Mus musculus: one gene and its partners. The main gene of each other region encodes a partner of the protein of the gene in region 4 in a complex. Links are inferred from orthologs where the notes say so. Each region holds a gene or a part of one and is shown on either strand. Other genes may lie near its edges. The genes, in order: Nod2, Mapk14, Map2k3 and Akap13.

What was found.
Region 1: Akap13 (region 4) and Nod2 share a complex: the UniProt entries of both Homo sapiens proteins name them as parts of the signaling complex. The link is inferred for Mus musculus from reciprocal best matches to the Homo sapiens genes AKAP13 and NOD2.
Region 2: Akap13 (region 4) and Mapk14 share a complex: the UniProt entries of both Homo sapiens proteins name them as parts of the signaling complex. The link is inferred for Mus musculus from reciprocal best matches to the Homo sapiens genes AKAP13 and MAPK14.
Region 3: Akap13 (region 4) and Map2k3 share a complex: the UniProt entries of both Homo sapiens proteins name them as parts of the signaling complex. The link is inferred for Mus musculus from reciprocal best matches to the Homo sapiens genes AKAP13 and MAP2K3.

Annotation. Positions count from the first base shown.
Region 1 is NC_000074.6:88,644,896-88,652,706, forward strand, and holds the start of Nod2 (nucleotide-binding oligomerization domain-containing protein 2), read left to right. Parts: upstream 1-2,451; 5' UTR 2,452-2,514; intron 2,515-6,751; exon of another isoform or gene 6,752-6,774; intron 6,775-7,811. UniProt on the Homo sapiens protein: Pattern recognition receptor (PRR) that detects bacterial peptidoglycan fragments and other danger signals and plays an important role in gastrointestinal immunity.
Region 2 is NC_000083.6:28,687,861-28,695,676, forward strand, and holds the start of Mapk14 (mitogen-activated protein kinase 14), read left to right. Parts: upstream 1-3,481; 5' UTR 3,482-3,879; coding exon 3,880-3,995; intron 3,996-4,707; exon of another isoform or gene 4,708-4,822; intron 4,823-4,895; exon of another isoform or gene 4,896-4,940; intron 4,941-7,816. Other genes in the region: Slc26a8 (testis anion transporter 1), read right to left, coding at 1,857-2,064, 2,271-2,328. UniProt on the Homo sapiens protein: Serine/threonine kinase which acts as an essential component of the MAP kinase signal transduction pathway.
Region 3 is NC_000077.6:60,939,776-60,947,151, reverse strand, and holds part of Map2k3 (dual specificity mitogen-activated protein kinase kinase 3), read right to left. Parts: intron 5,622-7,376; exon of another isoform or gene 5,438-5,621; intron 5,273-5,437; coding exon 5,206-5,272; intron 4,848-5,205; coding exon 4,799-4,847; intron 4,002-4,798; coding exon 3,888-4,001; intron 3,666-3,887; coding exon 3,546-3,665; intron 2,488-3,545; coding exon 2,371-2,487; intron 1,642-2,370; coding exon 1,590-1,641; intron 509-1,589; coding exon 381-508; intron 42-380; coding exon 1-41. UniProt on the Homo sapiens protein: Dual specificity kinase. Is activated by cytokines and environmental stress in vivo. Catalyzes the concomitant phosphorylation of a threonine and a tyrosine residue in the MAP kinase p38.
Region 4 is NC_000073.6:75,607,458-75,614,833, reverse strand, and holds part of Akap13 (A-kinase anchor protein 13), read right to left. Parts: intron 6,350-7,376; coding exon 3,274-6,349; intron 3,225-3,273; exon of another isoform or gene 2,394-3,224; intron 1-2,393. UniProt on the Homo sapiens protein: Scaffold protein that plays an important role in assembling signaling complexes downstream of several types of G protein-coupled receptors.

The DNA of each region.
Region 1 (7,811 bases), on a different chromosome or scaffold from region 4:
TTCTGGATTCTACTTGTCGGTCAGCGTCATGGTTCAAATGTAAAATGCTCCATAGGCTCGTGCTTTGAATACTGGGTCCAATAGGTGTGCTATTTGGTATAAAGCTGCAGACTATAACTTCAGGCTTTTCCTCCTAGCCACTTAGTTCCCTGAAATAATGATTCTGAGACCAGTTATTTATTAATAAATGCTTAAGCCATACGCTTTGGCTTGTTCTCTGACTAGCTCATAACTCCATTATCCCTTTTATTCTAATCTGAGTTCAGCCATGTGATGGCTGGTTTCCTGCCTCATCTTCTTATGTCCATCTCCTCAGTATCCTGGGGCGAATCTCTCATGTTTGTTTCCCAGAATTCTCTCCTGGATGTTCCACCTCCGATTTCCTGCTTCAGCTTATTGGCAATAGGCTTTTTTTATTGATAGGCAATGCTTTTACACAGTGAGATTCTCCTTGCAGAAGCGCCTTTAGAAAGCGTGTGTGTGTGGGGGGGAGGCAGCTGGTAGAAATGGATCACTATGGGCAGACCTTTGAAGGCTATGTCTGGTTCCTGTAACTCTCTGCTTCCTGGTCCAGAATGGAGGTGAACAGTCTCTACCATGCATTTCTTCTGCCATGAGCTAGGTTTCCACCATGCTCCCCAACCCCTCCTCCTCCATGGTAGACAGGTACTTGACGCTAAGCCTGACAAGCTAAATTCGATCCTCAGGACCCCACATGGTGAAAAGAGAACTGAGTCCTCCAAGTTGTCCTATGACCTCCACTCATGTGCCAAGACATATATGCATCCACATACATAATACCCACAGACAATAAATAAATGTAAACTATTTAAAATCAAAACTGTTGGGTTTGAAACTGTTTCAAACAGGGGACAAGCAGCTGAGGTGTCTATTTAACACATCAAAGTAGACCTGGTCTCCAGGTTCTCCCAGCATCCTTCAGTTCCTACCTATTTCTGGGTATGGATGGAATACTCACCCTCTACCCTGACCTCTCCAGCCCAGGGGCTGGGCTTCCCCCTCCCCCAGAGGCTCTTCCCTATATAATCCAGACATCTGCATGCTCGTTCTTCTTATCTCTCTGCCTCCACCCCCATCCCCTCCTTGTCTGTGTGGTAATTTCCCTGGCCCTATTCCTTGGCATCCGTGAACCTGCTCTAGAGCGGCTCCCAAATAAACCTTCCCTACTTTTAATTCAGCTTGTATTGGGTTATTTCATCCGCATAAGTACTGCATAGGTACTTAACTTGGAAGCAGTGTGAGGCAGTGGTTAGCGCACAGTCTTTGGTGCCTGAGGCCTGGGACACATCACGGTGTTGACAGGCTAGTGAATTTTTTTGTGCTTCAGTTTCTTCATCCGTAAGCCTGGGACAAGAGGAGTGCCCTACAGGTGGGGTTAAGAGACTTACTGAGAGCAGAGGCCAGCACAATACTAAGTGTCAGTTTCAGAAGGAACTCCCCAGACAGAAGGCTAAAGGGAGTATCTATTAGCATACCAAAGCACCAAAGCCTGTGGTGGCCTCCAGGCTCCCTCATAACCTGTAGCTCTCCATAGTTCTTACCCTACATCCCAACTCTAAGCTTCTCCAGCTTGTGGGCTTCCCTCCCCCAACTTCTCATTCCCATAAAACCCTGCCATTTGGCTGTGCTCTCTCTTGGCTCTCTCTCTCTCTCTCTCTCTCTCTCTCTCTCTCTTCTCCCTCTCCCCACCCCACATTGGTTGTCTCTTTCTCTTCCTCTCATGGTCATGTCCCCGCTGACCATGTTCAAGCTGCTATTTTCCCTGCTCTGGACTCTTCCAGATGCCTCCGGCTGTACCCTTCCTCATATCTACAATACAAATCTTCGGAACCTCAACCATACCTTGGAAGTGGTTTATACACAATTTCATGTCTGGGTCAATTATTCTCTCCTCTCCCTTTCTCTCTCAAATGAGAGTTCATGTACAAGTCTTTTTAGAAGTAACATTAAGAATGGGAACTAAACAACGCTGGCGAATTCCGATTAGGATGGTGGCAGAGCCCAGCCTAGGAGGCTACGTTGGAGGCAAGTGCTATTACACTTAGACCTCTTTCCTCAGCTTGCATGGGACTGACAACCAAGGGGAAAAGAGGAACTTTAAATGCCCTAACACCACCCAGCACGGCCTTCTGGGAATGCCTCCATTAAGACTGTAGCTGACTAAGGGCTTACAAATCCCTGAGAGGGTGCATCGGCTCCTACTGACACTGAGGGCTTTCCTAGCTCTTGTTCCCAGGACTCTGGTTCCCTTGTGATTGAAACCGGTCCCCAAGGGCAGAACACAAAGCACTGCAGGCAGGCCTGTTCCCGGATACCTGTCTCACCAGTCCCTAGAGGGAAATCAGGAGGGGTGTGGCCGCCCTTCCCAGCCTGCCAGAGTGGGCGGGGTCTCTGGCTAGGTGGGTGGGGCGATGGGCGGGAGTAGATCACTGAGGGAGTCCTAGTGTGGAGTCACCGCAAAACTGGCGAGGGATCCCCACGCTGCAGCTGGCGGTGAGTGCTTGCTTTCTGGTTCTGTGGTCTGCGGGTGATCGGGGTGGGTGGATATGTGGAAAGGAGGGTTTTCTCGCGGGGAGACCGAGGACTCCCGGGCAACAGCGCTTGGTTTTGTGGAGATCACGACCGTCACAAGTCCCATCGCGGGGACGCTGTTAACTGGCTCTGGAGCTGGCCTGGCTGAGCTCCTGAAAGGGACTCTGTTTCTCCTGGAAGCATCGACGGAGTAGATAGGCTGTAAAAGGAAAGGGATGTCTCGAGGGGAGCCACGGCAGGCTTTGGTAACTGAGAAGGAATAGGGTATTGGGACCAAATTGAAGCCCCCAGGATCCTTTGAAGTCTGAGGCGAGGCTGTGATTTGGAGGTGGCTGGGACAACGGAGGGGAAACTTGCAGGTGAGGTCCTTACCCAGAGGGAGAAAACCCTGCTTTGGGTCTTAGCAGGAACTATTCCTGGTTCAGTTCCCCCCACCCCCTTCTCTCTAACTTCTGTGTCTTTTTCAGAACCTGCAGGGTCCTGGCCTGGGGCAGGGACATTGGCTTTTCTGTATGTAATCTCACCCACGGTTGATACCCTGCAGGGGAAATGCCCCCTCCCTCATCTCTGCCCTCCTGAAGACCAAAGAGTCAGCCCCATTGGCTCTGGTCTGCTCAGTCTGTTGTGAGGCCTTTGGGGCTCCCAGTTTCTTGGCCACTTAATGCCAGTTGGCCTCCACATGCAGCTCCAAGCTGGCACTGGCTCCATCTTGTCCCCTCTCTCCCACCCAGGTCAGCATTGTAGGGTGGCCCAGTGAGCAGACGCTTACTGCTAACAAAGTGGCTTCTATAGCTGTTTGGCCAAAGTCTGTGCCTTGCAACTCTCTGGTTCCACAGCCACCCCCGCCCCCACGCTGTGTGGAACAAACACATCCTCAGCCCATGCAGACCCCATCTGTACACTGGGTGATGCACAGGGATATGGTGAATACATCATGCTAACACATGCCATCTCAGAGGATAGGAAGTACTGTGGGGAGAAAAAGCTGGGACAGGGCTTAGGGGCTACAGTTTTGCATAGCATAGGAAGGCACCTCTGAGAGAGTCACCACTGAGCAAAGTCTTAAGGAGGGGATTGGCAAGTCATGTGACTATCTAGGGGGAGCTAGAGAAAGCCCCCACTGTGTGTGTGTGTGTGTGTGTGTGTGTGTGTGTAGGTAGGGAGGGAGGAGCTTATAGAAGCATGACAGACCAGAGCAGGGTGTAAATGGAGGGATGAATTGGAGGGCTGGGGGTGGATGGTGGGTGGCAAGGAGGAAAGGGGTGGCATCTGAGGTCTCTTGTATTGGGCTTGAGTTCGCCATAAAAGCTTTTGGCTTTCGCTTTGACTCTGATGGGAGCCATGAACAGATAAGGCTCCTGCTCTGACTTAAGGTTTGGCAGGGTTCATCAAGTTGTGAGGCTGAGACTGCCTATGGAGGTTCATGGCAGATGAGGGAAACATGAAGGGAGGCTATAGAGCTTACATCATGGCATAGAGAGAACCTGTGGCTTTCAGATTTGGAGTCTGTTGGAGGTTGGATGGATAGTCTGTGATGCTGGAGAGAGGCAGCGTCAAGCATGACTCTGAGAGTTCGGGGCTGCCTTCGTCTGCGAGGGGAGCTGATAGGAGGGAGAGCCGGTGATTGATTTTGTATTTGTCTTTTGGAGATGTTGGTAGGTACCACATGATGTTGAATAGTGTCCAGTAACATTTCAGTCATCGTTATCTCACAGTTGGGAATTGGGCCTGTGGGCAGAGACGCATCAGTGATTTGTACTTGGGGGTGGGGTGGGGGACTAGGAATCAGCCTTGGAGGCAGAATGGATAGAAAGAGCAGCTGGGAAGCAGGGAAGAATATCAGTGAAACCCTTCATGACTTCCAGAGAAGTGCTCCAGGGAGGAAGGTGACAGAAAGAAAGGCAGAGAACAGAACAAGTGGAAATCATGGTTTGTATTCTCTCTGGTAGTGGGTGTGGGAGGGGATGAAGGAGATGGGGTGGATTTGGGAATGGCAGTTCAGGTCCAGACAAGGGAGGGCAGAAATGAAGGATGAATTGATCTGTTTGTTCTCTGATGGGAACTGGTTTCCTGGGGAGCAACTCAGACATGGGGCAGGAGAGGAGTTAGTTAGTGCTCCAGGGAGATCTTAGCCAGTCAGGACTAGGACAGCTCAGGGCTGCATTCTGCTCTCCTCTTGCTGCCTTCCTTTCTCTCCCGTCTGCTGGAGGCCTGGGGGCACTGCAAAGGGATTTCAGCCCTTGAACAAAGTCCTCAGCTAGGAACTTCAGGAACACCAGGCTACCTATGATCCTGGATAGGAAGGAAGTGCCAAGAAACAGACATGGGCCTTTGTTGATACCCTTGACCCTCTGTTTCAGAAAGGAAGTGACCCCCTTTGTTTGGGTTGCACCTTGCAGAGCCTAAGAGTGACTCCAATGTGGCACTAGCCTGGTAGAGAAGGCAAGGATGACAAAGCAGTGTGTTTAGCCTGGGGAGAGCAAGTCTGACAAGGGAGGAAGGTACAAGAACGAGATTCTGGGACTAACTAATAAAGAACTTCTTCAGCCTGTCAGGAGGACAGCTTCAAGCCCAGGTCTTCTTTTCCAGCTCTTTGGGATGAGATAGGGAGTTGGCCTTCTTAGAGGCAGAGGGCTGGCAGAATTGGTCTTTGGGGATATGTCTTGCCTTGTGTCTGCAGGAGACTGGCAAGATGGGAATTTCCAGCTTTAATAGAAGACAGAGTACCAGACCACGTAGCTTTCCTGCCTCGCCCTGCCCGTGTCCACACTGCTGATGTCATTGCCTGGGTGTGGATGGTTTGGGTATACGGCAGGCAGGCTCTTAACATATCTGGGGAGGGCTTCTGCTCTCTCAAAGTTGTTTCTGTCTGGGCAAGCACGTTTATTGGAGACACATCACACCACCAGGGTCTTTGAGTGAAAGCCAGTGTAGATGTGCCAGTTTTTGTGCCAGGACTGCCAAGAACTAGCAAGTTCTTCTGGGCGCTGGCCTGCCACCTCAGGCTTCCTGCTGAAGCTTTTGGGATTTCCCCTAGGGTGGGTTGGCCTGATCAGAGACTGCCTGTGCTATGCCTCTGGGATTTTTGGCTCATTGTGCTTTGCAGAAGAAGGAAACAGTAAGTGTCTTACCCAGCCTCCTATAGGTAAAATGAGCCAGGCCAATCTCAAATCTTTTCATTCCCCATAACTTCCTGCTGTACCTCAGGCCTCAGGCAAGAGTGCTAACATCACCTCTGTGCTTTTCTCTTAGTAGGAAGGGGCACTGGTTACTTTTCTCAGGACCCAGGCAGGGGTGCTGGAGTAGCACCCTACCTCTGGCTGGTTTGCACAGTGGAGACTCAGTCCACGATTTGGCCCCAGCTCATGCTGCCCCTTGCTGTCATCTGCCTCTTTCCCATCCTTGGCTCCTCCTGGGCTGAGTACAGGGTACAGGTGACATGCTTGGCCAGTGAGGACTCTAAGCGCCACAGTAGGGAGACCTTCTCTCCTTCGCTGCCAGATACTCAGGTAGCTTCGCTGCCTCGGCTTTTCCCTGTCTGGTCAGCCCCAGGCTTCCAGCCTGCGTGTCCGCAATGTGGTGTTGAGTTAGAGATTGAAGATAGCCCCAGAGCATTCCAGCCCCAGGCTTCTCTGGCTGGGCTTGGAGTTAACATCCCTAGGGCTTCCAGTGAGCCCAGTGCTTTGCCAGCATAGGGGTGTCAGACTGAGGGAGACCTAGCCTGCAGTGTGGGCCTGCTGTAGAGGAAGGTATCAGAATCTAACAGGAAAGACCTGGGCTCCCCAGGCCATTTCCAGCTGCCCCCACCCCTTCTCCTCAGCATCTTAGAATGTCCCAGATTTTGAAAGGAAGTCTTTCTTCCGCTTCCTCCTTGCCTGTGCTCTTTCGCTTTCCTTTTCTCCGGGTGTACTGGCTGGTTTTGTGTGTCAATTTGACACAGGCTGGAGTTATCACAGAGAAAGGAGCTTCAGTTGGGGAAGTGCCTCCATGAGATCCAGCTGTAAGGCATTTTCTCAGTTAATGATCAAGGGGGAGGGCCCCGTGTGGGTGGGACCATCTCTGGGCTGGTTGTATTGGGTTCTATAAGAAAGCAGGCTGAGCAAGCCAGGTGAAGCAAGCCAGTAAGAAACATCCCTCCATGGCCTCTGCATCAGCGCCTGCTTCCTGACCTGCTTGAGTTCCAGTCCTGACTTCCTTTGGTGATCAACAGCAATGTGGAAGGTATAAGCTGAATAAACCCTTTCCTCCCCAACTGCTTCTTGGTCATGATGTTTGTGCAGGAATAGAAACCCTGACTAAGAGTGGGCGTGGTGGCACATGCCTTTAATCCCAGCACTTGGGAGGCAGAGGCAGGCGGATTTCTGAGTTTGAGGCCAGCCTGGTCTACAAAGTGAGTTCCAGGACAGCCAAGGCTACACAGAGAAACCCTGTCTCAAAAAACCAAAAAAAAACACACACAAAAAAAAACCTGACTAAGACACCGGGCTCTGCCCCAGGCCAGTGGCAGTTACAAACTGGCCTATTTCTCTGCCGCGTAGGATCTTAGTGCCTAAAACCTCTGATGGTCCCTTCCTCACCGAGTCCCCAGCACTCGGGTCTGAAGGCTGAGCTCCTGAGGATTGTGGCAGAGGGGCTGCATGCAGTGTGTGCTGCTGAATTCGTAGGAGGAAGCAAGGGCCTTCCGTCAAGGGTATGTGTGTGTATGTGTGTGTTGCTATCAATGAGTGGCATACCAATGGGCTCTGAACCAACTTTGTGTGCACCATGACATCCCATTCCACCAGGATTGGCATCTTTACAGAAATCCCCAGATCTATCCATGGAACATAAAGAGTTATGTACAGAGGCAGGGCTGCGGGGATAACCAAAGATAAGAGACAAAGGCTTGTGTCAGGCAAGGAGTCCCACTCCTTGGGTTCAAACCCTAGCCCTATCTTTCCCAGCTATAAGTACTACGAAATCCCTTGCCCACGTGCCTCAGTTTCCCTTTTTGTAGATGGGAATGGCCACAGCCCCTGCTTTCTAGCAGTTGGGAGTGGGGAAGGAAATCTTTCAGTAAGGCACTGAGGGTGCACTTAATGGATCCAGTGGTCCCAAAGTGGTATGACTGATCGTGCTCTCTGGTGGGACTCGTCACCCTGCCTAGGAGGGAACTGACCCGCAGAAGCTGGCTTCTCCTGTCAGTGCTGCACTGTAGCAAGAGTACGGGAGCCCAGGGACTCGAGGATTTAAATGTCTGGCTGTTTTAAACTCATGGC
Region 2 (7,816 bases), on a different chromosome or scaffold from region 4:
GCCTGACAACCGTGGGACCCATGAGGTGAAAGGAGAGACACCAACTTCCACAAGTTTTCCTGGGACCTGCACCGGGCAGTGTGGCCCACATCTATGACCACACACACAAAATAAACAAACTTCAAAAACAAAAACAAAAACCTGTTCCTAGAGGGAGCTGAGTGTGGTGGCACATGCCTCTACCCTCAGCACTTGGGACACAGAGGCAGTGAAGATCAGGGGTTCAAGACCAGCCTGATACACAGAAAGCTTTCAGTCATGAGCTCCTACTTCAAAATAAACAAACAAAACCACAAACCAAATAAAAATAATTTCCTGAGTCAGAATTTCTGGGGCAGTACAAAAGTATGTTTTAAGACGGGGGGGGGGGGGGGGGGGGCGGGGGGGAGCTCAGTATAGTGGCAGCACAGGCGCCTTTAATCCCCGCACTCCAGAGACAGAGGCAGGTGGATCTCTGTGAGTTCCAGGCCAGCCTGGTCTACAGAGTGAGTTCCAGGCCAGCCATAGTGAGAGCCTGTGTACACAGAAAGAGAAGCAGGGGCACAGCAGAGCTGGGGAGCCTGATGTGGAGCAGTCAGTAGGGTGGAGCAGCCTGGAGGCTCCCTGCACTACCCGCTACTTCTCTTACTTGTCTTTATTGTGAGACAGGCTCCCCACAAAGGTGGAGTGTAGTGGGCTTTGGCATCCTCCTCCTCCTGTCCCCAGCTAGCCAATGCTGGGTTATAGGTGTAAGCCACCATCCATGCCTTAATTCTTTTTGATTCTTCCTTCCTGGGCTGGGGACCCATCTGAGGGCCTAACACATGCAGGGCTACTCTACCCTGAGCTGTAGTCCCAGCCTTTATCTTTAAGCAGGCTTTCATTGCTAAAAAACACTTAAAAAAAAATACAAGCACGTTAACACAGCTCTTTTTGCTTCTGCTACCCTCAGCCATCTGTCCATCCATCCATTCACCCACTCACTGATTCGTTTAAAATCTCTATTTGGGATATTTTAAATGCAAAAAAATGTAACCCGATTTATAAAATTTTGACTCAAAGGACCAGAAACCCTCAAAATTAGTTAAGGTACAAGAATATCTTTTACCTAATTAAGTCATCTTTCACATGCTTTCTAAAACCATAAGACAAAATTCACTTCCAATTAAAAAAAAAAAAAAAAAAAAGCACTTGTATTTCCCAACCAAAAACCTCATTGCCTGTGACTCTCAGTTTTGGTGGAGAATGTATTGGGGATGGTCTAGTGGCAGGAGATGCTTGAAGGTGGCAGCCCTCCAGCTGCTGACAGGTCACATAAACACCTTCCCTTAATGCTAGTCAGTGTGATACCAAGCAGGTGTGGTAGAGAGATCCTCATTACTGGGCTGAACAGTGGAGACTTCATGGGGGGACCCAAAGTCCAGCAATAAGGACTAGAAGACAGAGAAGGAGGAGAGGGGACAGAGGGTGGGCTTAAGGCAGAGAGAACAAAATGAGCAGAACAGTAAAGTCTGGAAGCAAAGGGGGCCCTGAGCTGCGGCCTGATGAGGACACAGAGAGTGGAAGTGTGGGGGGCCCACAGTCCAGTTCCTTCAGCTGTGGACATCACAGAGATGCGAATTTTTGAAAGGATCCAGTATGCAAATTCCATGTTGTCTCTTGCCATTTCGGTTTCACGCAGCCTTTCTATAAGGAGAGAGAAGTTCCAGGGACCACCGCTATTCATTCATTCATTCATTCATTCATTCACCCACTCCTTGTGCCTGGGACACTCCTGGCTCTGCAGGTGACCCAAGCAGCCACGCTCTGGGACGCGAGCGGGCTGTCAGCTCCCAGGCGGCAGCCAGAGCTCCGGACCGCTCCCGACCCAGGCTCACCTGGTTTCCGGTGGCCCGCAGGAGCGCAGACGCTGGGGACAGACTCGGCTCCAGCCTGGCTGGCGGCAGCGCTGCGGACGCGGAGGCCGGCAGTTCCGGAGCCGTTGCTGCAGAACCCGCGGGCGTTCCGGCTGTGCGGGTGACGGGCGAGGATGGCATCTGGGCCGAGGAGAAGGGGTCCCTGCTGCCCTCCACATACCCGGATCTTCTAGAAATAGCCACGAGAATAAGATTTCCCCTTTCTCCTGCTCGGTGTAGGCATGGGTGGATGTGGGTTCTTACGGGTCTAACTTTCCCCATTCACTTTTATTAGCTTTCTCGGCTTCTACGGAAGATTCCACTAGGTGGGAATGCAGGGTCGCATTGATCTTGTAGAGACTAGAACCAGGGCCTAAGAAAGCTCAACAGACTTACCTAAATGAGATGCGGTCAGAATGCTCGCCCTAGTAGTTCTCCATACTCTCAGAGGCATGAATTAAGTCTTTAATACCCACCCCCCAATTTTCTTTTAAATTTCTAAACTTTGGATGGCTCTAAAGGGCAAGAGTCGGTCTCAAACCCGAGTGATGGTTTTTGGGGTGTTGCACATACGGTCTCATCACTACACAGCAGAGGCTTGGTCTCCTGGTTTTTCCAAATGCTAGAATTACAGGATTTGTAAATACAAATAAACAAATAAATAAATAAACAAATAAATAAATAAGAAGGGTCCCCTGGTCTTTCCAAATGCTGGAATTACAGGTTGTGTATAAATAAATAAATAAGAGAAAGGTCTCTTGGTCTTTTCAAATGCTGGAATTACAGGTTCTGTACATATAAATAAATAGTATGAAAGGGTCTCCTGGTCTTTCTAAATGCTGGAATTACAGGCTGTGTAAATAGATATATATGTATGCATGTATATGAAGGGTTTTCTGGTCTTTCCAAATGCCGGAATTGCAGGTGGTGTAAATATAAATAAATAAATGAGAAGACCTTCCTGAAATGGAATGACCTACTTGCAGTGTGTGTGTGTACCTTCCCCTTCCAGTAGTGGGTATTGAACCCAGGGCCTTGCAAATGCTGGTCCCCAGCCTGGAAGTGGCCATTCATGATGTCTACCTCTGACCTCGTGCATTGGAACTCCCTGTGGGTCCCTGGAACCTCCTTCTGCCACTTCTGCCTGAAAACATGTAGGAGCGCCTGGAGGGAGAGCCTGGGCTTTGAGGCAAGACTAATATTTGCCTAGGGGGCAGGTTTCACCAGCATCCCGAGGTGAGCCACTTGTCCTTGAGCAGACCGGAATGCGACAGCTTTCTGGACAGGGCCTGTCTGTTCTTTCAAGTTGTTCTTGGAAATTGACGACTCTAGTGAGCAGGTTGCTCGGAGTTCAAAGATCATTTGGCTCTCTTCCCCGACGCTGTCACAGCGGCTTTCCGCCATGGCGCCAGGCATTCGCCCGTGCGACCACAGAGAGGCGCGCGCGCCCCGCGCTGCGGCCTCCACCCTTGGCGCCCCGGGGAGCCCAGTCCCCGAGAGTTCCTGCCTCGGCTCCCCAAGCCGCGTCCCTCTTCTCGCGAGATCTGCCGGCCCTGCGCGCTCTTCTCGCGACCCCCCGCCCCGTGGGCAGGTTCCATATTGGGTAAGATCTGGATTCAGAGCGGGGCCTCCTTGGAGCTGTTCTCGCGAGAGTTCCGCGAGAGGCTCCCGGCCGCTGCCTGTGGGATCGCCGCCACTGGAGCCCAAGCGGGGCGCTGAAGCGCGAGCGGGTGTCTTGCGGCGTCGGCGTGCGCTCCCTCCCCGGGGAGCGGCTGCAGGAGGACCGCGGCGGGAGCAGCCTCGAGCCGTGCAGCCGGCTCCGGCACCTTGCCGACGCTCGTAGGAGCCGCCGCGGCTGACAGGGGCGGCGGGTCGCAGCCTCCACACCTGCGCGGGTGGCGGGCGCGGGGTCCGGTCTGCCGCGGGCGGGCGCAGAGGAGAGCGTGCGGCTGCAGGCAGGAGCCCCCGCTCGGCCACCTCCTCGCCCCGCTGCTGCCGCTGGAAGATGTCGCAGGAGAGGCCCACGTTCTACCGGCAGGAGCTGAACAAGACCATCTGGGAGGTGCCCGAACGATACCAGAACCTGTCCCCGGTGGGCTCGGGCGCCTATGGCTCGGTGTGGTGAGTGTCGCCGGGCCTCGGGTTAGGGGTGGGGTGGGGGGACGCGGTGGAGCAAGCAGGGTGGCCCTGCATGCCTGAGGGCCAGGCCTGTCCCCACAGCTCAGCGATGCGCCCAGCGGCAGGAATTCTCCTCCGGGCGTGTCTGGGGGTGCAGGGGGCAGCTGGAGCGGGACGTGTCCTGCACCCCTCGCCCTGCATACGCAGGTCGGGGGCGAGCCGTGTGCGGGAGCGGGTCAGCTGCGGACGCGGTGGGATGCTTCTCTACCCTGCGCTCTCCCTGCTCCCAAGACTGGCCCTCCCGGGGGTCCTCTGCTGCAGCGCGGCCTCAGGACCCTGCCTCCGGGTACCGCCACTCGGGACGCGGGAGCCCTGCCCCGGGGAGCAGACGAGCTGGGCGGAGCTCCAGCGAGGAGCTGTAGGGCAAAGCCTGACCCGGGGACTGCGGTCACCTGAACGAAACTTGCAAGAGAAAGCGCTCCTTTCCCGGAATTTTTTTTTTTTTCCTTTTTTCTCCCCCTTTTCCCATTTTTGCAAGCCTCCATCGAAAAATCCTGTCTCAGGAAACGTTCCTTTGGGATTCGCACTTGAATTAGCAGCACCCCGAAGAGCTTAAAATACCGACTTTATCTCGGGGACCACGGTGCCAGCTTGCGTGGTGTGTTTCCGATTCGGTTGAAAGCGTATTTCCTTTTCGGGGAGGGAGGGTGGCAGCGCCTTGCAAGGACGCTCCAGCTCGCCGCTTAGTCACATACCACTGCTCATTTCAGTATTGTTTGACAAAACAGTTTTCCATACCGAGCAGAGGGGCGCCCCTCAAGATCAAGAAGGTAGGACTAGAGCTGGAGGTGTAGATAGCTTTTAATTGAAGTAATTCATGGGGGTGCTTTTCTTTTTTTTAAGTCCCTTAGAAGATTTGCGGAGTTTTATCAGCTTGTAAGTACCGAGGTACGTGGTGGTTTTCGGGAGATCCTGGAACATAGGAAACGATGCTTTTTAGCTTTCCTTAACACCGGGTGGGGGAGGGGGGTAGGAGTGGGGGGGGGCCTATTTTAGTTCCACTATGGCTCTCCCTGTCTTGCCTGGAACTCAACAAATTTTGTCTGCCAGCTCTGAGAATAAAGGCTTTTGCTACCATGCATGGCCCTGGGAGCAGGTTTCAGATTAAATTTCTACCATAAAACTTCCACTCCAGAAATGTTCTAAGGAACTTTGAAGGATTCACGCAGTATCTTTTACTATATCTTTTAGAGCTCCCTATCTGATAGTAATCTGATAGATTCAGTAGATGAGCCCTTCCTGTGTTTTAGTGACTTACATGCATTCATGGTTTCCGAAGGAGTCTGGGAAATGGTTTTTGTTTTGGAACAAATTCCAGGCTTCTGGATGTGCTAACCTTTAAGTATGAGTCCTGTGTTACTTAAAGTCATATCGTGAATTTCCTGTTTGGTAGAATCTTCTGGGTAATTGAGATTGTGCAATTGTGTCCAGCAACAGATCACATTGCATTTGCTGGCTCAAGCTGCTTAAGCTATGTTGCAGATGATACCAACTTGGACATCTTTCTCACGAGTCTACAGAATGGCAGTTTACACTTTAAAGGAAATGTCAATAATATCTCTCATGTATTTGTGATTGATCTGTTGCATCATTGTTTCTCTAATAGTTACCAGCTCCTTAAGTATCTCCATTCTTCGTTCCTAATTGGTACAGTACCAGGCGTTTGTTTCCATTTGAATGCTCAGGGAGTGAAGCTCAGGGGCTTCTGGGATGGTGAATTTGCAAGGTTTCCTGTGGACACCACTGTCCTGGCAGAAGAGCCAGCTTCACAGTGAAGTGCCACAGTGAAACCAACTCCACTTCCTCTAGTGCTGCTGTTTTCTGTGTAATATAATTGAGCACAACCTCACAATTAAATAGACTTCTACCAAACAGCTTCTTAAACATAGGTAGTGCTGGCCCAGTGATGGAACGCAGTGGGACAGCCCTGGCCTTGCCTGTGGGAGGCCCTGCATTCCAGCCCCAGCAGCAGTGCACCACACAAAGCAGGTTGCTTGAAATAAGGGCCCAAAAGGTATGCAGCAAAAATCCTGTTTCTGCTCTCAGCCCTGCATGCTGGTCTTCCAGAGACAACCACTGTTTAGTTCCTTGCCTGACATTCCAGAGAGGTGTAGTTTCTAGCGTAGAGATTTACTATGTAGCCTATTGATGAGGAAAAGATAGCTGAAATTGTGTGTGACCCAGCAAATGTCACCTTCAGTTAGATTTGCAAGTGTTAACTTCTCTCAAGTTATTTGAAATTGTGTTTTCAATTAGCTTTTTAGGTGTGACTGAAAAATACTTTTTTGTTTGTTTTTTGAGATGAGCTGTCCTAGAATTCACATTGTAGACCAGACTGGCCTCCAACTCCGATCAGCTGGACTTTGCCTCTCAGAGTGCCTGGATTAAAGACTTGCAACACTACACCTGACTTCTTGAATTTCTTTTTTAATCCACTTTGAGGCCTGTGTTCCCTTTCTTCACCTTCGTTCTCTGAGATAGTTTGATGTTGGGGAATAATGAAGTCCATTTGAATGGATATAATTGAGGGGGATTTAAACTGAGCTCTTGAGAAGAGAGGAGGCTGTTCTACTGGTGACAGTGGAATAAGTCAGGAGGGACCTGAAGTCTCTTCAAAAAAGGAATCTCTGAATTGGACATGATACACTTTGATTTGTAACTTAATTTTTTTCTTTTAAGTTTAAGATTAATTTTAATTTGTATTATGCAGTGAGCGACAGTAACAAAAAACAAGCAGCAAACTGTAGTATTACCAACTGTGACTCAAAGTTGAATGAGAGTCTAGAAATTGAGAATTGGCTTGTTTTTACAAATATCTTTCTTTTTAAAAGTGTAAAGGGAACTAAACTAAGTTCTCTAAGTTTTAAGGAACTGTATTTACTGCCTGAAAAGGGAAACAAGCAAAATCATTAAGACCACATTGTTGCAAAGCATTGATTGTGTGGTTTGGGACATAGGGGAAAATCTTTGTGGTGAATTTAAGGAAATACAAACGGGAACGTCAGTGTCTTTCCTCTGGGGAAAGGGGCTCTCCAGCCCCTTGCTGGACACACTTGGGTACCATGCCTTGGGAGTGAGAATTAAGAATTACTTCTAGATCATTCACAGCTATTTATTCATTAGTCTGGATTACATAACACCAAACTCTGGCTAGAATCAAGGCTAGATTCTTGAGCTAAAAGTACAGAACGAGACAGCTCATTTTGTCATTGGGCTTGTAGAAGAATGGATGGATTTAATGGCTGCATTTTATGGGTTGCTTGCTGTGTTGTAGGCATGGAGATGCTTAGTTTATGATCGGCATGTAGACATGTAACAAACTTGTAGCTAAACATGGTAATTTCTTCTAACTAAATCTGATTTAGCATGCTATATAGGACAAGATTATTCCAGTAAATATAACAAAAATAAATGAAGCTTTTTTTTTTTAAGTATTAATAGCCATTCACCATTAGTTTTAATTAGCCAGGGAAAAAAAATAAAACTCCACAATTAGGTATGACTTTTCACTCTTGACGACCGAGAAGGCTGGGCCTTTACTATTAGTTGTAATAATAGCCGGTCTCTCTTCCTTCCCTTCCTGCCTTTCTTCCTACTTTCCTTCAGGACACAGCCTTCTGGTCTTGAACTCTTGATCCACTTGTCTGAGGCTCTCTAATGCTAGGGTCATAGGAGTGGGCCACCAAGCTGCTTTAGCTGACCTATCTCCCATTTACTGTTTTGTGACTAAAAGTAGACTAGTTAACTGGATGTTACCAGTCTTA
Region 3 (7,376 bases), on a different chromosome or scaffold from region 4:
TTGTAGCCCTTCTGATTCAGTTCAGGGTTGATCCTCTCAGGCTGCAAGAAAGACCAGAAGGCTTGAACACCCAACAAGGCTCCCTCAATTAGACCTTTTCTCTTCTACACCAAAACAGAATACCATTAGGTTCTCCTGCCTGCATGATATAGGCCAGCAAGAGCGAGAGCCAACCCCTGCCTTCCCCCCAGGCCACCAGTCTTAAGGATCCCCATGTTCCTAACAACAGAGAACACAAGTTCATCCAAACAGGGATCATGGAGTATAGGTAAATGGTGGCAGGGTCTCTAAGACTGGAGGTACGGCTGGAAATAGCCAGCCCACTGCACAGAGGCAAAATCTTGTCCTGGTCTCCACCTTGCGGGGATGCCCTGACTCACGGCCATGTAAGGCTTGCAGCCAGCATCCATTGTCTTTGCCACAGAGTCCACCAGGTAGCCACTGATGCCAAAGTCGCACATCTTCACATGCCCTTCCTTGTTGATGAGGACATTGGATGGCTTCACATCTACAAGAAGAGCAGACCTTTCTCAGTCCATGCCAAATGGGATGCTACCTTCTCCAGTGCCCTGTGGGCCAGCAGCATGCTACCCAATGCCCCAAGGATTAGCCAAGGAAACAGCGGCAGTGAGATCTGCAGCACCAGGCCCCATCGCTCGGCTGGATGACAAATCAAAATGAACTTCAGCCTATCCCAACCAAAGAGAAACATCTGAGCTCTGGAGACTCTACCTTGAGGCTACCTAAGCACGTCACCTGCTATGGACACAAATCCAGCAAGCAGAAGGTAGTGGGTGAACAATGAGGTGGAGTGAAGGTATGCGGATGGGTCTGTGCATGCAAATGAGGAGCCCCACCCATCCCTGTCTCACAGGAGGCAGGAGCCTCCAAGCAAAGGGCCACATGGATGTGAAAAAGACAAAGATGCCCCAGAAAAGACGGGAAGGTTCCATGCCAAAGAGTCAACAATGATGACCCGTGGACAGAATGGGATGGGTGCTGGTCATCGAAGTCCACTTAGCCTCCTTCGTTTTCTAGGTACAGTGCAACCAAGTTAATGGGAGGCTGATACTTAATTAAGTATAACCCTGGAGGGGGAAGCCCAGACTAGTGGCCATGGGGGCAAAGGAATCCCAGAAGAGTCCAGGATAGTCATGTGTGGGGTAAGGGGGCTTGTATCAGAGTCCTAGTGTGACATGCCACAACCTAGGTGCTCCACGGCACAGGAAATGTAAATATGAATGAGAAGCGGGCCATGGGGCTGGAGAGATGGCTCAGTGGTTAAAGCACTGACTGCTCTTCAGAAGGTCCTGAGTTCAAGTTCCAGCAACCACATGGTGGCTCACAACCATCCATAATGAGATCTGATGCACTTACATATAATAAATAAATACATCTTTATGAAGAGAGAGAGAGAGAGAGAGAAGCGGGCCATGGAGCTCAGAAAAAGCTGGGATCCACTTAGTTCCTCCTATTCAGAGTGCAGCAGGCAGAGCCAAAGGCACAAATGCAGAAAGCGGCCTATTCCCCAGCAGGTATATCACAGTCTGCCCCTCCCTGAGCCTCTGTGGCTGATGGAGGACACTGACCTCTGTGGATCACAGACAGCTTGCTATGCAGGTGCTCCAGGGCCCGCACGATCTGAATGGGGCAGGAGAGGCAGGGCTGCTATTATTCCAGGTAACAGAAATCATAACACAGCAGTAGAACCCCATCTCCTCTAAACACACCCCAGCTCCTGCCTACGCCCCAAATCTGTCCCTCATCCTGGCTGTCCTAGGACAAACATGTCAGCTTCCTGCCTTCCTCCTGCTCCACAAATCCCAAGCAGTGCCTCCTAAGGGCTTTTACCAAGACCTACCAGGCCCCCAAGTTTCTCTCACTCCCCCATGAGCCACCTCTAAGAGATTAGACAAAAAAAAAAAAAAAAAAAAAAAAAAAAGAGCCTGAGGCACAGGGTGGTTTAAACGCTTCCAGATGCAAATAGGATTAAAGGGCATCCTTGATACGACTGCCCGCCCTGTTTCAATACTCAAACCAGAGTTGCTGCCCTCCTCTAGAAACAGCAGGCTCAGAAAGCAAACATCTCCCCAAAGCAGCCTGGACCTCCAATAGCTGTCAGGCGGCATCTGAGTACAAGGCAGTGGGACACACGGCACTTTCTTCAAAGTGGGTGGGAACGTGAGAGCCGCACTCACGACCTTGGAAGCAGGGAGCAGTCCAGTCTGAAGAGCCCCATCCCTGGGGCCTCTTCAGCAAGGTACTGCTCTCAGGCTTCAGAAGTACTGAGTCTTAGAGGGGACAGCTACTCTGCCAAAATTCAGCCACACAGCAGGTCCTGTGCATGCTGGGTAGAGCGAGGCCACTCACAGACACAGCGATCTCCCCCAGGATGTCTTCCGGAATTTTCATGTTCTTCTCCAGCACCTTCCGGTAGAACTTATCCAGGGAAGTGTCCATGAGCTCCATGCAGATCCATACATCCCCCTGTGAGAACATCCAGTGCTTAGCTGGTCCCCCAGTGCTGCCCAGCCCTGGGCAGTCTACAGACTCCCAGGCTTCTCCAGCCTTCATCTTAACAGCCTCGCTGTGAGCACCAGGTCCAGCCTCCACCTGGGAAGGGACACGATGACCCTTCTCACCACACTTCTCACCCCTCGCCATCGCCGTCTGCCTTTCAGATCGGCCTCTCTGGCACCTCACCATGCAGTTCATGCTCCCCCGCCCTAGTCTCCCCGCTCTGTGCCCTAGTATAACAGTGTTCCCAAGCAATCGGGAACCTAGTGTGTCCTGAGACTTTTAAGTCAGGACATAAAGGGACAAGAACCGAATTTCTTCACTGGAAAATGACCTTTCTTCTCCCCAGCAAACCCGCATAGCCTTGGGATGAGCTGGCTGACACTTACACAAGTTGCTCAGTCCACCACATGAGATGCATAAAGTGGGGTCTGAGCCACCACTGGGACTTGAGAGGGACCCAAAGGAAAGCCAGGGCAGAGAAACATCACGGACCACTCAAGAACTCCAAGATGGCAGGTCATCATGGGAAGTCCCAGTTCCATCCTGACTCTGGTGCGTACTATATGCTTCCAACGGCAGCTCTGTGCTCTTGCTCCTAGACCCTGCACCCTGCTTTACCCTCCATTCCTCTACCCTAACATACACCTAGACTCTAGCCCAGATCCTCACCCCTTCACAGTGCTTCTCCCCTGGGGGCTTGCCCTGAATGGCCACTACGGGGCTAACAGAAAGCAAACGACCACAAACAGAAATCTCAGCTGCCCCGGAGCTCCAGGCCCCTGAGCACAACCTGAAGAGAACTGCTCAGACACCTGTTTAATCTTCAGACAGGGAACCTGAGGCAGAGCGGGTCAGGAACAGGAAAGCCTGCCTCTCAAGAAGAGCCCAGCCAAGCTGCATCAGGTGAAGGGTGCTCCCTATACCTTGAGTATAACTCCCCTATACCCAAAGGTCCCGGGAACTCCACACAATAGGACTGAAATGGCAGTCGTGATTGGCAAGAGGTGGGCAGAGACAGAGCCTACCTCTCTGAAGAGGGCACCATAGAAGGTGACAGTGTAGAAGCAGTCGACCGTGCGCATGTTGATGTCTAGGTCCATAAGCAGACGTTTCTGCTCCTGTGTGTTCACTGTGGCCCGGATGCGCTATAGGAGAGCCACATGTCAGGGCCACGGATTAGGCTGTTCCCCTAACCCAGTCCATGAGGGCCAGGAACCTTGGGGAATCCATGGCCCTGACTTGTCTGAGAAGTTCTGCCTCAACGCTGGTGATGACAGTGAGGGACAGAGCCACAAGTAGACAGTCACTCTGAAGCTCAGCCAGTGCCTCCTCCAGTGCTACTCCAGGTAGGGTGAAGCCCTGCTTACCTTGACAGCCATGATGGTACCACTCTGAGCATGCCGCACTTTCTCTACCACCCCATAGGCTCCACGACCCAGCTCTGAGATGGTCACCAAGTCATCAGCCTCCACTTCGAAGTTCTTAAGAGGCAAAGGGAGAGGTGATTGGTAGGCACCAAGCTGGAAACTGGCTCTTGTCCCTCACCCAGAGAAAAGCAGAGGGCCAGCTTGTCAGATTTGAGCTCGCAGCTACTATACGCCATGTACTATACGCTTTGTGACCCAGTGGAAAGAACTGAGCCAATCTGACCCTACCGCTGATCTCTATAAAATGGGTGCAAAACCAAAAACTCGGAGACTATGGGAGACGTCTTCCACACACATCTCAGCAAAGGGAGCTATTAGTCAATCATCTACTGACCCTTTGTGGGAGTTCCCTCCCCTGAGTGAGAGACATGGGATTACACAACTGGACTAACAGAACACCAGGCAGTGACAAAGGCTTGGGGAGGGAGGATCTTCCAAGAAGAGGCTCTCGGCCTACTCTGCCTGGTACACATCCCCAAATCAGGCTTCTCAATAGTAGGTGGCCTTCCAAGGCACTCAGGGGTATGGACAGTATGGAGTCTAGGGTCTGACCTGGGGTCTGGGGAGCCCAGGAGTCTACATGTCCCACATGGTGCTTCCAGGTGGTACAGATTTCATGTGGGATTCATAGCCCACACTCTGAGGTAGGCAGTGTGGCAGCTCTGCGCTCCTCACACCCCTCCCTATAAGGCAGGTGGAATGTACTTCTTCCAGAGAGGAGGTCTAAGGGCAGATAGCCCAGGGCCACAGCCACCAGCATGATAAGCTACGGTAAGCTCCTCCCTGAGGCCCAGCTCCAGCTACCTCTCAGTGGCCCTATGGAGGCCTCTCAGTGTCTAGTTACCACCTACTCTGTCTCCGATAGTGATGAAGGTCCGGGAGTCCAGGTTCCGGGGGGGTCTGTGGAGAAAGCAGATCCACAAGCTTCTCTGAGAGAAGGAGCTATAGGGGGGTGAGGGTGAAACACACTGGCCATGGGGGCAGCTTACAGTCACCTCAGTCCAGTGACTGTTAGGCATCCACAAGGTAAAGTGTAACGGTGCAGCCCTGACAGAGACCCCAAGACAAGGACTGGGAAGGCATGGGACAAACAGCCAATGCTCCTGAGACCCTCTGGAGCCACCCAGGGCGGGATGAGAAGAGAATGCTCTCTCACCCACCTCTGACCCCCGTATTCCTGCTTCTTACTCATACCCCTGGCCTCCACTAAGAGGCCTCTCCAAGTCTCAACAAAGTGAGAAACTTAAGGCAGACTCACGTGGGGTTGGACACAGGTGGCTTGGACACGCAGGATATCCGTAAGTCCTTTTTCCTTTTGGATTTTCCTGAAGTGGAGAAAAGACGGGGATCTGATCAACATTCAGCCCTGGGCTGTGCAAAGCTAGGGACAGAGGTCACTCAGATCTCTGGTACACACACACACACACACACACACACACACACACACACACACACACACACACACGTCCGAGAGTCAGTATGATCAGTACCCAGAGAGCCTCAGGGCTTTGGGGTAGGCAGAGCATGGTCCCACTCAGTCTGGGGAGCAGGTTCAGTCCTCCTCCCACAATAGCAGAGACAAGCCCCACCCTCCTGGGAGCTGCCCTGCAGCTGGGAGGCATCAGACAGCTGTGCCTATAGCACGCGCGCGCGCACACACACACACTCAAATGCTCAGCTATGCATGAGTTTCCAGGCCTCTTACTGCCAGGAATGGAATGTCGTCTGCCCAGTACCAGTGTTCCCAACCACACAAAAGCTTGTGTCCTACGTCTCTTGTTTTGGGCTGAGCTGTGTCTTTCAAAACTTATATACTGAAGTCTTGACCCCCCAGTACCCAAGAATGTGACCTTATTTGGAAAATGGTAGGGTTTTTTTGTGGCCAATTAAATCAAAATGATATCATTAGGGTTGGCCCTAATCCTGTGACAAGGCTGGTGGGTGTGTTTGCATTTGTGCATGTGCACATATAGGGGAAGAATCCCAGGTAAGTGTTCTCCCAACCCCACTGGTATCCTTATAATAGAGGAAACGGGTACAGAAAAGGAAGATAAGTGGAGCCATGGGAGATGCCACCCCTTAGCCAAAGAGAGGCTTGAAAGCAAGCACAGGCAGAGCCTTCCTGGGTGGCCTATGAGAGCTGCCTACCCTCCTCTCCGATACCTGCTGCGGAAGCCGTCCACTCTGTGGCCGTGGGACTTTATGACAATAACCCTAGCCGCACTGTGTCCTTCCACGAGGGTCAACGTTCGTGGGGGAGTGCCTGAGACTGAGTTCTAATCCCTGCTCACTGTATTTCCACACTCAGAGCCTCAGTTTGCCCACTGGTCAAACCAGAGCATAGACACCCACTGGGGCAATGAAGACATGGCCTGGTGCACAACCGGCATGAACGGACTTCCACCTCCTATTTGTAGGGCCATGTGGCTCAGCGCCCACCACTGGCAGCAGGCACTGACTCTTTCAGTCTCGGCTTCTCCAGGAAGCAGGGGCTCTGACCCCCACCAGGGGAGAAAATGTGAGAGAGAAGCAGGATGAGAGAGGTAGATGTGACAAGTCTCCTCGGTATCACACAGAGCAGGAAAGCAGTGACCAAGTGCCTGCCCTTCCCAGAGGCTTACACTGCATCCTGCAAACTGCCACCAGCTCACTCTGGCCACCTAGCTCCTGAAGCCACATCTAAACCAGTTTCTGGCAGATCCAGCCATAGCTACGCACAATATAGAGCTTGGGGTGTGACTAAGGCAGTAAGGCCTGTGTATTCGGGCCAGCCCAGAGTGGCTTTCAAAAGTACTGACCAGAAGATCGAGGGAGGCAGCTGGGCTCACTGCAGACCCCTTCGGGAGCAGGGGGTTTGTCCCTGTGCTGGAGGGACAGGTCCTGAGTCTCATGCACCTGTGGGTCCAAGTCTTTGCCAGGTACCACGTCTGGCTACACGTGCTAGGAGTAGAGGTAGACAGCTACAGAAACTCTGCATGGACCCAGAATGGCATAGCGTGCAAGCTATTTCTCTGCACTTTGGCCTGTGATATCTAGTTTGCATTCCTGACATGAGGTTCTCTGTAACCAAAATATAAAATATTCTGTAATAAAATACACAGCTCTGCTTAGAATATCTAGAGTCACAGCCTGACCCCCAGCCCTGACAAGCCAGTCTAAGAGAGCTTATACTGCTACCCACCCACATCACCTCCACTTTCTGCTCTCCTGTGTCTCTGGCAGTGGGTTGGGAGATGTTATAAGCTCTGCCTTTTGCCAGGCCTCAATTGCCCCATCTGTCAAGGCCATGCCCATACCTGCCTGCTGGATATGGTGGTGAGGTCTTCTTATTGTCCCAGCCTGGGCAGCACACAGCCAACTACCCTAACAGGGCCACCAGCCTATGTTAGGAGTGACCTGAGCTACCAGAACAGCTATGCCAACTGTCAG
Region 4 (7,376 bases):
ACCCCAGGTTTCAAACGTTTTGTTTGTTTTTCCATTAAACGTCAGGAGCTGGAGCCATTTCTGACCCCACGCTGAGTTACTCCTCATCACATGGCTCTGTGACTGATTCCCAGATTGTAACTGAGGCTAGAGCTAAAGACGTTTCAGTCGACTGTCTACCCAGTGTCCATTTCACCACTGACTTCTCATGAAAATCTATGAACACTCTTGTGACAGTACATTCATGGACTACAAAGGTGCAGACTAACATCTGAAACATGGCAGTCCATTTTGGACACCATTATAGCAAAAGCTATTTGGACAGTGAAAACAGAAAGCCACTGGTAATGAGGTAAAGCTTCTGGGACTACAATCTCTTAAAAATAGGTTTCCAACCCTGATCTATGCGTAGGCTTAATCGACAAGACTAGACAATTTCAGTAAACTATTATTTCTTCCAAAAGCAAACAGTGGAAAAATAAACAAACAACCCAGATAACCAACCAACCAACCAAAAACCAGAAATATTTTTACTTCTGAAAACAGCTTTTTAAATTTGTTGTTTTGTTTCTGGTATCTAACAGTCTGCCCCATACTGACCATGCTCTCAGCAGACCCTAACAGTCATAGTTTCTTCTACTGAGCCACCACACCGTCAAGCAAAAGCTAAGGCAAATCTAGTCTTCTGACATTCTTTAAGGGGGGGAAGATTGCTTGAATAGTCATATTTTACCCTGATATTACAAATACAAATGGAAATGCTGTCTCATTTTTATTTGGTTGCTGATAATCCAGCGACACTAGTACTTTGGCAATAAAACACCCCGTCTAAAATACCACAGTATCTATCATCCAAGAATAAAACATTAAGATCATTCACTCTAACAGCAAGTGTGACCCTCTAAAAGGTCTTAGATTGTGAAAGTCACATTCCTAACAAAAGAACATTCAAAATTCTTTGTCTTTTCCTTTATAATTATACAACCTTACTAGCAATTTAAAATAGGTAGACATGTTTGCTTACTCAGAGAATGAAAATCTGTTAGCTTTCATACAATTAAGTTTTATTTTGAAGAATCTGATTAAGGAATCCCTCCAGGAAAACGTTTCTGAGAGAATAACTGTGTGTATTATAAAAGAGGGGTATGGTTAGAATGTGATTTTTAGCATAACCCCAACTTTCCTATGCCCCAGCAATGGGAGCTATGTACCAGCTACAAAAGTAAACACTGATTACTGAGACTGCAGAACTGGCTTGGTTTAGTCAAGCACCGACAATCTTGGTTTGCTCAGCACAGTGATCAATCAATGCTTTTGAAGAGGCAAAGGTTCACATTGCCTTCTAACAGGCTTCTCCCAAATCAACAGCTGACTGACTCATAAAGCAATCCATGAGTGGAATGCAACCTCCACAAAAAATACCCCTGGCTATGAGATCACATGCAGGTGTTTTTTTTTTTTTTTTAAGGCAAAGTGACCAGGGACTTTCCTCAACCCTGGCTATTTCGTGAAGAAAGCACCAATGTCTTCACCGTGGCTACTTTTTTTTTTTTTTTTTTTGTAGAGCACCAAGCCCGTTATAAGTCCTTTGGGTAACAAAACAAGTAACTCACCGACACAAAATATATCACAGCAAAATCACATTAACTTTTAAAACTTCCTTCTTCAAGCCTTAAAAACTTTGTACCATTTCTTAGTATCTTCACCACAGTTATATATACACTTAAGAACAGACGTCTAAGACTCTGCCAGTTTCCTTCTCTCTCTCCCCCTCCCTCCTTTTTTTTTTTTTTAACCTTTTCAGATCCAGTGCTACAGACACACACTTCATAGTTCCCAGTTACTAGGATCAAATTGTGATCACAGAACAAGAAGGAGAAATAATCCCATCCAGGCTGGCCAAGGACAGAGCACCCAAAGAAAGGAAAAACAGCCAGGCATCAGCTTACAGTCACTCCCATGCTTCTGAAATGCCAACCTGCCAAGGTCCCCAAAATAGACTTGTTGTTGTGCCTTTTTAAAAAAATTAGAGACCTCATTTCAGTGTTAAGATAGAAGCCAGCCTGAAACAGTACTCAGTCTAAAAACTGAAGTCACCAAGACCCCCACATCAGCTTCCTTAGTCATGTAACTGCTGCTCTGGAAGTTGGGGTTTAAAACAGTCCAAAAGCCCTTCATCTGGGCATAGTACTTACCGTGTTTGAACCCCCTTCTCCAGAAACAATTTCTTTATTTTTGTTCATCTCTCTTCATACCCCATACCCACAATTCTAACATGTACTATTCACTATTCTTAAAAGCACTGCCAACAGTTAAAAAAAAAAAAAAAAAAAACAAAACACCTATCACAAAAGCATCAGAGCCACAGTACAGGGTAGCATGTGGTGGCGGCATAAACGTCTGCATCAACTGACCTTCCGGACTTCAGAAGACAAGAGTGACAGCCATTCCGAATACAGTTTCGGCTTCAGTCTCAAAGGCCATAAGAAGTTCTATCCAGTGAGTTCATTCCACTGAGCAATGGTGGCTTCTCGACACTCTCTTTAGGACATAGTTACCCATCGATGGAACAGGCAGCTTGTGTTGAGCAATCTGCTTAGTGCAGCTGCTTCACCGAGATAAGCAGACACCAGGTCTGCCTGGTGACAGCAGCGCAGCGGACTGGGCTTGGGCGGAAATCCTGTATCCTATCCCCTGTGCTGTGCAGGACCCTGAATTCCCAGACTCTGCCCAAAAGCAAAGCAGCAAACCTGGAGGTCTGTTTCTCAGGCAGGAAAAGGAGGAAGAGTACACACCCCCAACTTAAGCAATGACCTAATATCACCGTTTTAGATGTTCATTTAATTCAGTACTTCTCAAAAACAGCTGCTCATGAAGCCGGCCCAACTTTAAATTCTCTTACAATACAGACAGCTATGACTTGGAAAAGTTTCCAATCTGTAAACAAAGCACATTCATTTCAGCGCTACATTCTGGGGTTCTAAAGAAAAGAACTAAGCTGTTTGATTATCTAACGCCGTCTGAGATCCATGTACTGTCTTCCGGATTTAGAAACTGCAATGGCTCCAGTGTGACAGAGAAGGTAGGCTTGAAAAAACAACAACAACAGGAAAGCTTTGCACCTGTAATACAGGAAGTAAAATCTGTCCAACCTAAGATGACACGTGTTTTCTGACAGCAGTGACTATTAACTTGGCAACTTACATGACTGAGCAAGTAGGACTACAAACCAACAATATCGACATTCTAGTACACAACAGAGACATGATTCTTAAGCTGTTAAGTCTTATAAACTGCCTTGCTTACCTGGTGCTGACTCAGGTAGAATAATTTTCTCTGGTTCTTCTGTCTCAGCACCACACTGCCCGGTGGTGTCTTCGTGCGTCTTCTCTATCTGCGGGGTCTCCCCAGGCAGGAAAGCGCATGCACTCTCTGTGTAAGCATTCTCTAGCTGCTTAGTCTCTGGACTGGAGAGTGACGGATTCTGGGTTTCTACTTTAGCCATCAGTGCGTTGGAGGCCCTGACTTGCCTGATGACGGCCTCCACTATCCTAGTGGCGGTCTCCTCTATGGAGTCTGCTCTGGTAGGCACATCTGCAGCTTGGGTTGAGACAGTAGTGGCATTACTTTCCTCTGCCGGGATGGAAGCCTGTGCCACTTGCTTCATGTCAGCTTGGGGGACATTGTTATTGATCACTGAGAGCCCTGTCTCTGTGGGGAGGTCCCTGGCAAGAGGCTGCATTGGTTTTTCGATTGGGGTCTCTTTGGAGTTACTCGTGGCACAGTTAAGGTCTGTTCCCTCCAGCGTCTCTCTCTTGCAATCAAGTGGTTCTATCTCTGGGGTTATGACTTCCTGTAAGTCAGTGACACCTTTGTCCAGGAAAGCTTCTGGCAAACTTGGAGTCATTTGCTTCTCTTGGTTTAACAACTCTGAAATTGGGATGTCTTTGATACAGTGTGATGCATCCTTTTTTCTGGGCTCAGCAGTAGCTGGTGAAGCATCAGCCACTGTAACATCCTCCATCGCACTTCTGCTTACCTCACAAGCATTGGTTTCCCCTTGGAACTGAGTATTCTCTACGACAACATCGAGAGCAGAAGGCTGATTACAATGGAGTGCCTCAGACGCACCTGGCAGCCCACTTGGCAACAGAGATGAGCCGCTCTGCTCTGTACTCGAGGCTTTCTGCTTTGAATCGGCAGACAGACTCGTTCTTGGTGGCACCAGGCTCTTTGCAGCCCCACCTTCAGTCAGCAGGGAGACCTGTGGGGCCACTTCCTTGATGTCTTTAGTTTCTGTTTTCAGACAGGCAGAGGGTGTGTGCTGCTGTGCTTTCTCCTCGGCACAGAGGGCTGACATAGGTTTTTCACAGAGTCCTGGTATCTCCTGCCCAGAGGGAGGTGTTCTCTGGTCTTCCCTTGACATTTCTGAAGAATGCACGTCTTCTTTAACTGAAGAACAGCTCATTGCTCTATCTTTGCCATCTTGCCCCAGAGCTGTGGAACTTTCTGGAACCACTACACTGACACCTTCTTCAGGCAGAGTAAAGTCAGAAACCAAAGCAGCTTTATCCACGTTATGCAGTAAAGAGTCACTCAGCACTTCAAGTGTTGCTGTTGGGCTGGAACCCTCCTGTTCTCCACCAATGCCTACAGGGCTGGTATTTCCCATGCTGGTCCGAAGCTCTACAGCAGAGGATGGAGGTGGGTCAGTGGCCCCGTCTCCTACCTTATCGGTATCACTCAAATCTCTTCCATCTGGGCCATCTCGACAAGCTGTAGTTCTATGGAGCTGAGGAGTTGCTGTTCCCTTTTCTTTCTGGGAGGGGACAAGAGAAAGTGCGTCATCTTTGGTTACTGATTCACTCTCTGGACTGCTTGCCAGAGAGAAACTGCTGGCTGGAGGTGATACCTGGTCTGGCGCTAGTTCTTTCTCAGTCTGGGAGACAACTGAAGGCAGACGTGGAACATCCTCAAGCACGTTCGTTAAAGGTGTATCTTGCTTCAAACCATTTCCTTGATTCTTTGCATCTGAAACACAGAGATGACAAACCCCCACAGATTTCTGGGTATTTTTCACAGTGTCAGAAGTGACTGTGTCAGCTTGTGGGTCTTCTGGGCAGAGGGTGGTGCAAAGTTCTTGCGTGCTTGGCTGCACCATTGTGCTTTCAGGCAGGCTAGCTTTACCACTGCCACATTCTTCCAACCTGCCACTAGAAGTCACTGTGCTCGGCTGATGTGTAGCCTCAGCAGAAGGCGTGCCAGCCTCAGCTGTAGAACAGAGCAGCGCCTGGCCACTTAGGCTTTGAGCAGGCCGTGCATGAGACTCTGAGTTCTGTTCTGGCATCCCATCTGAACTTGGGCCTGGCATGGTTAAATCCAAAGGTGATGCTGTCTTACAAAAGCCTGCTATGGAAGTATCAGGTTCTTGTCCACCTAAAACCTTGTTTTCTATAGCAGCAGCAGGAAGCACCGGGGAGCTCTGGTCACTTGTGGTTCCCCCCTCACAGCCTCTCTCTTGAGTTTCCATTCCTGGTTTTTCAGTGGGGATTTCTTCAGAACTCAATGCAGGTGAAGCCTCAGCAGGAGTGTTAACACCTACGGCACTGGTGGCAAAGACATGGTTTGTAATATCGGCTTTCTCCATGGGTTCACTTAAAACTTGAACAGCAGTTGTTTCAGTTGTGCTACTGTCTGAATTCTCAAGTCTTTCCTTTGTGCCTTCCCCTACTTGAGGCTTATTGTTCTGGGTGGTAGCATCTGGGGTAAGCAGGCTATGTTCCAGTTCCCCTGCCTTTTCTGGGGCACCAACATCTGTTGAAGAGCTGTCTGGTAGCTCCCTTCCAGAAGAGTGCTGGCATGCATCTGGTTCTGTGACCATGGCATCCTGCAGCACACTGCTCCTGCTGCTCAGTGGCTGCTGACATGTGGCTACTCCAGAATAGTTTGTTCCAGTTACTTCGTTTCTGTTTCCACAGGATGGAAGACCTTCTCTGCCCTTCACTCCACAGTCGGGTACGCTCTGAAGGCAGCTGTCTTGATGAGATGCAGACCCGGAGTCCATGGCAGATGCTGGCTCCGCCTCTTCCCCCTTTCTCCCCACATCTTTATTTTTCTTATGAGAACAGATGACATTTTCTTCCTCAACCATGCTTGACAAATCACAGGAACTTTCAGCCATCCTCCCAGGACTCCTTTGGCAGCACAGAGTGCTCTTAGTTTCTTCAAAAGGAGGATGCTGGTGGTCAGAAGGCTCTGGTACACAGGGAAGGAATAGGCCATCTGTCTCTGGTACACTGGGCACACAAGACGAATCTTGTGCTGTCACCATTAATGGCATGAGATTGTCCATCTGCTTCAAGTTTGTTTTCTAGGAGGAAACCAAAGATACCTTTTAAAAATTGATCATGAAAAGAAAAGTGTGTGTGGGGGGGTGTGCTGACTAAGAGAAAAAGATGTCACTGATACCTGTAAGCCAAGTCTTGTTGGACAAGCACTGTCTTTCCGGGCCTTCTATCCATCTGCCTCAAATACCGATGTAAAGACACAGTATAATCAGTTTTAGAACCCCTTTCAAGCAAAATATTCAGCCACGTAACTACATTCCCAAAATATGTTCAATCCAACATATCTACGCTTTTAGAATTAGGAATTCTATGTATCAGTTAGATAAAAAGTGGGTTTTGTGCTGTCCATACAGCATATTAAAGAAAAGAGAGTGTATACTATTAGCCAAACCAAACTCTTAACTACTGTCAAGGGTGTTATGGCTTGAGGGCACTAAAAATATGATCAAAAATGGTTTTTAGCACCTTAAAATTAATTTAGTTTTGCTTGCATCTTTTCTGAGACAAGGTCTCACTATGTAGAGAAATTTGCTATATAGACTGGCTAGCTTCAAAACGCCTCAACCCTTCCGTTTCTCCATCCTAACTACTGAGATTGTACCCACATTACTATGCATAGTGGAAAGGTTCTTAAAAATTAATTATATGAACAAATACAGCAAATAAGAAAGAAATGGCTAAAACAATCACAGTTCATCAATGTTATAAAAATAACACAACACTGTTATAGGAACTATGAAGACAGCCTAACTATCTAATCTAGTCTTCTGCCCCTGGAATGTGTGTGTGTGTGTGTGTGTGTGTGAGAGAGAGAGAGAGAGAAAGAGAGAGAGAGAGAGAGAGAGAGAGAGAGAGAGAGAGAGAGAGAGAGAGAAAGAGAGAGAGAGAGAGAGAGAGAATGAAAAAACTAAATAAAATTTACAGTTGATCAGAAGTTATTAATTAAGGGGGGGGGAAAAAAAGACCGAGGCGATAGCTCTGCTGAAGAATGCATACTTCTCTTGCAGAGGGCCTGAGATTTCTATTTTCAGCACCCTACATCAGGCACCT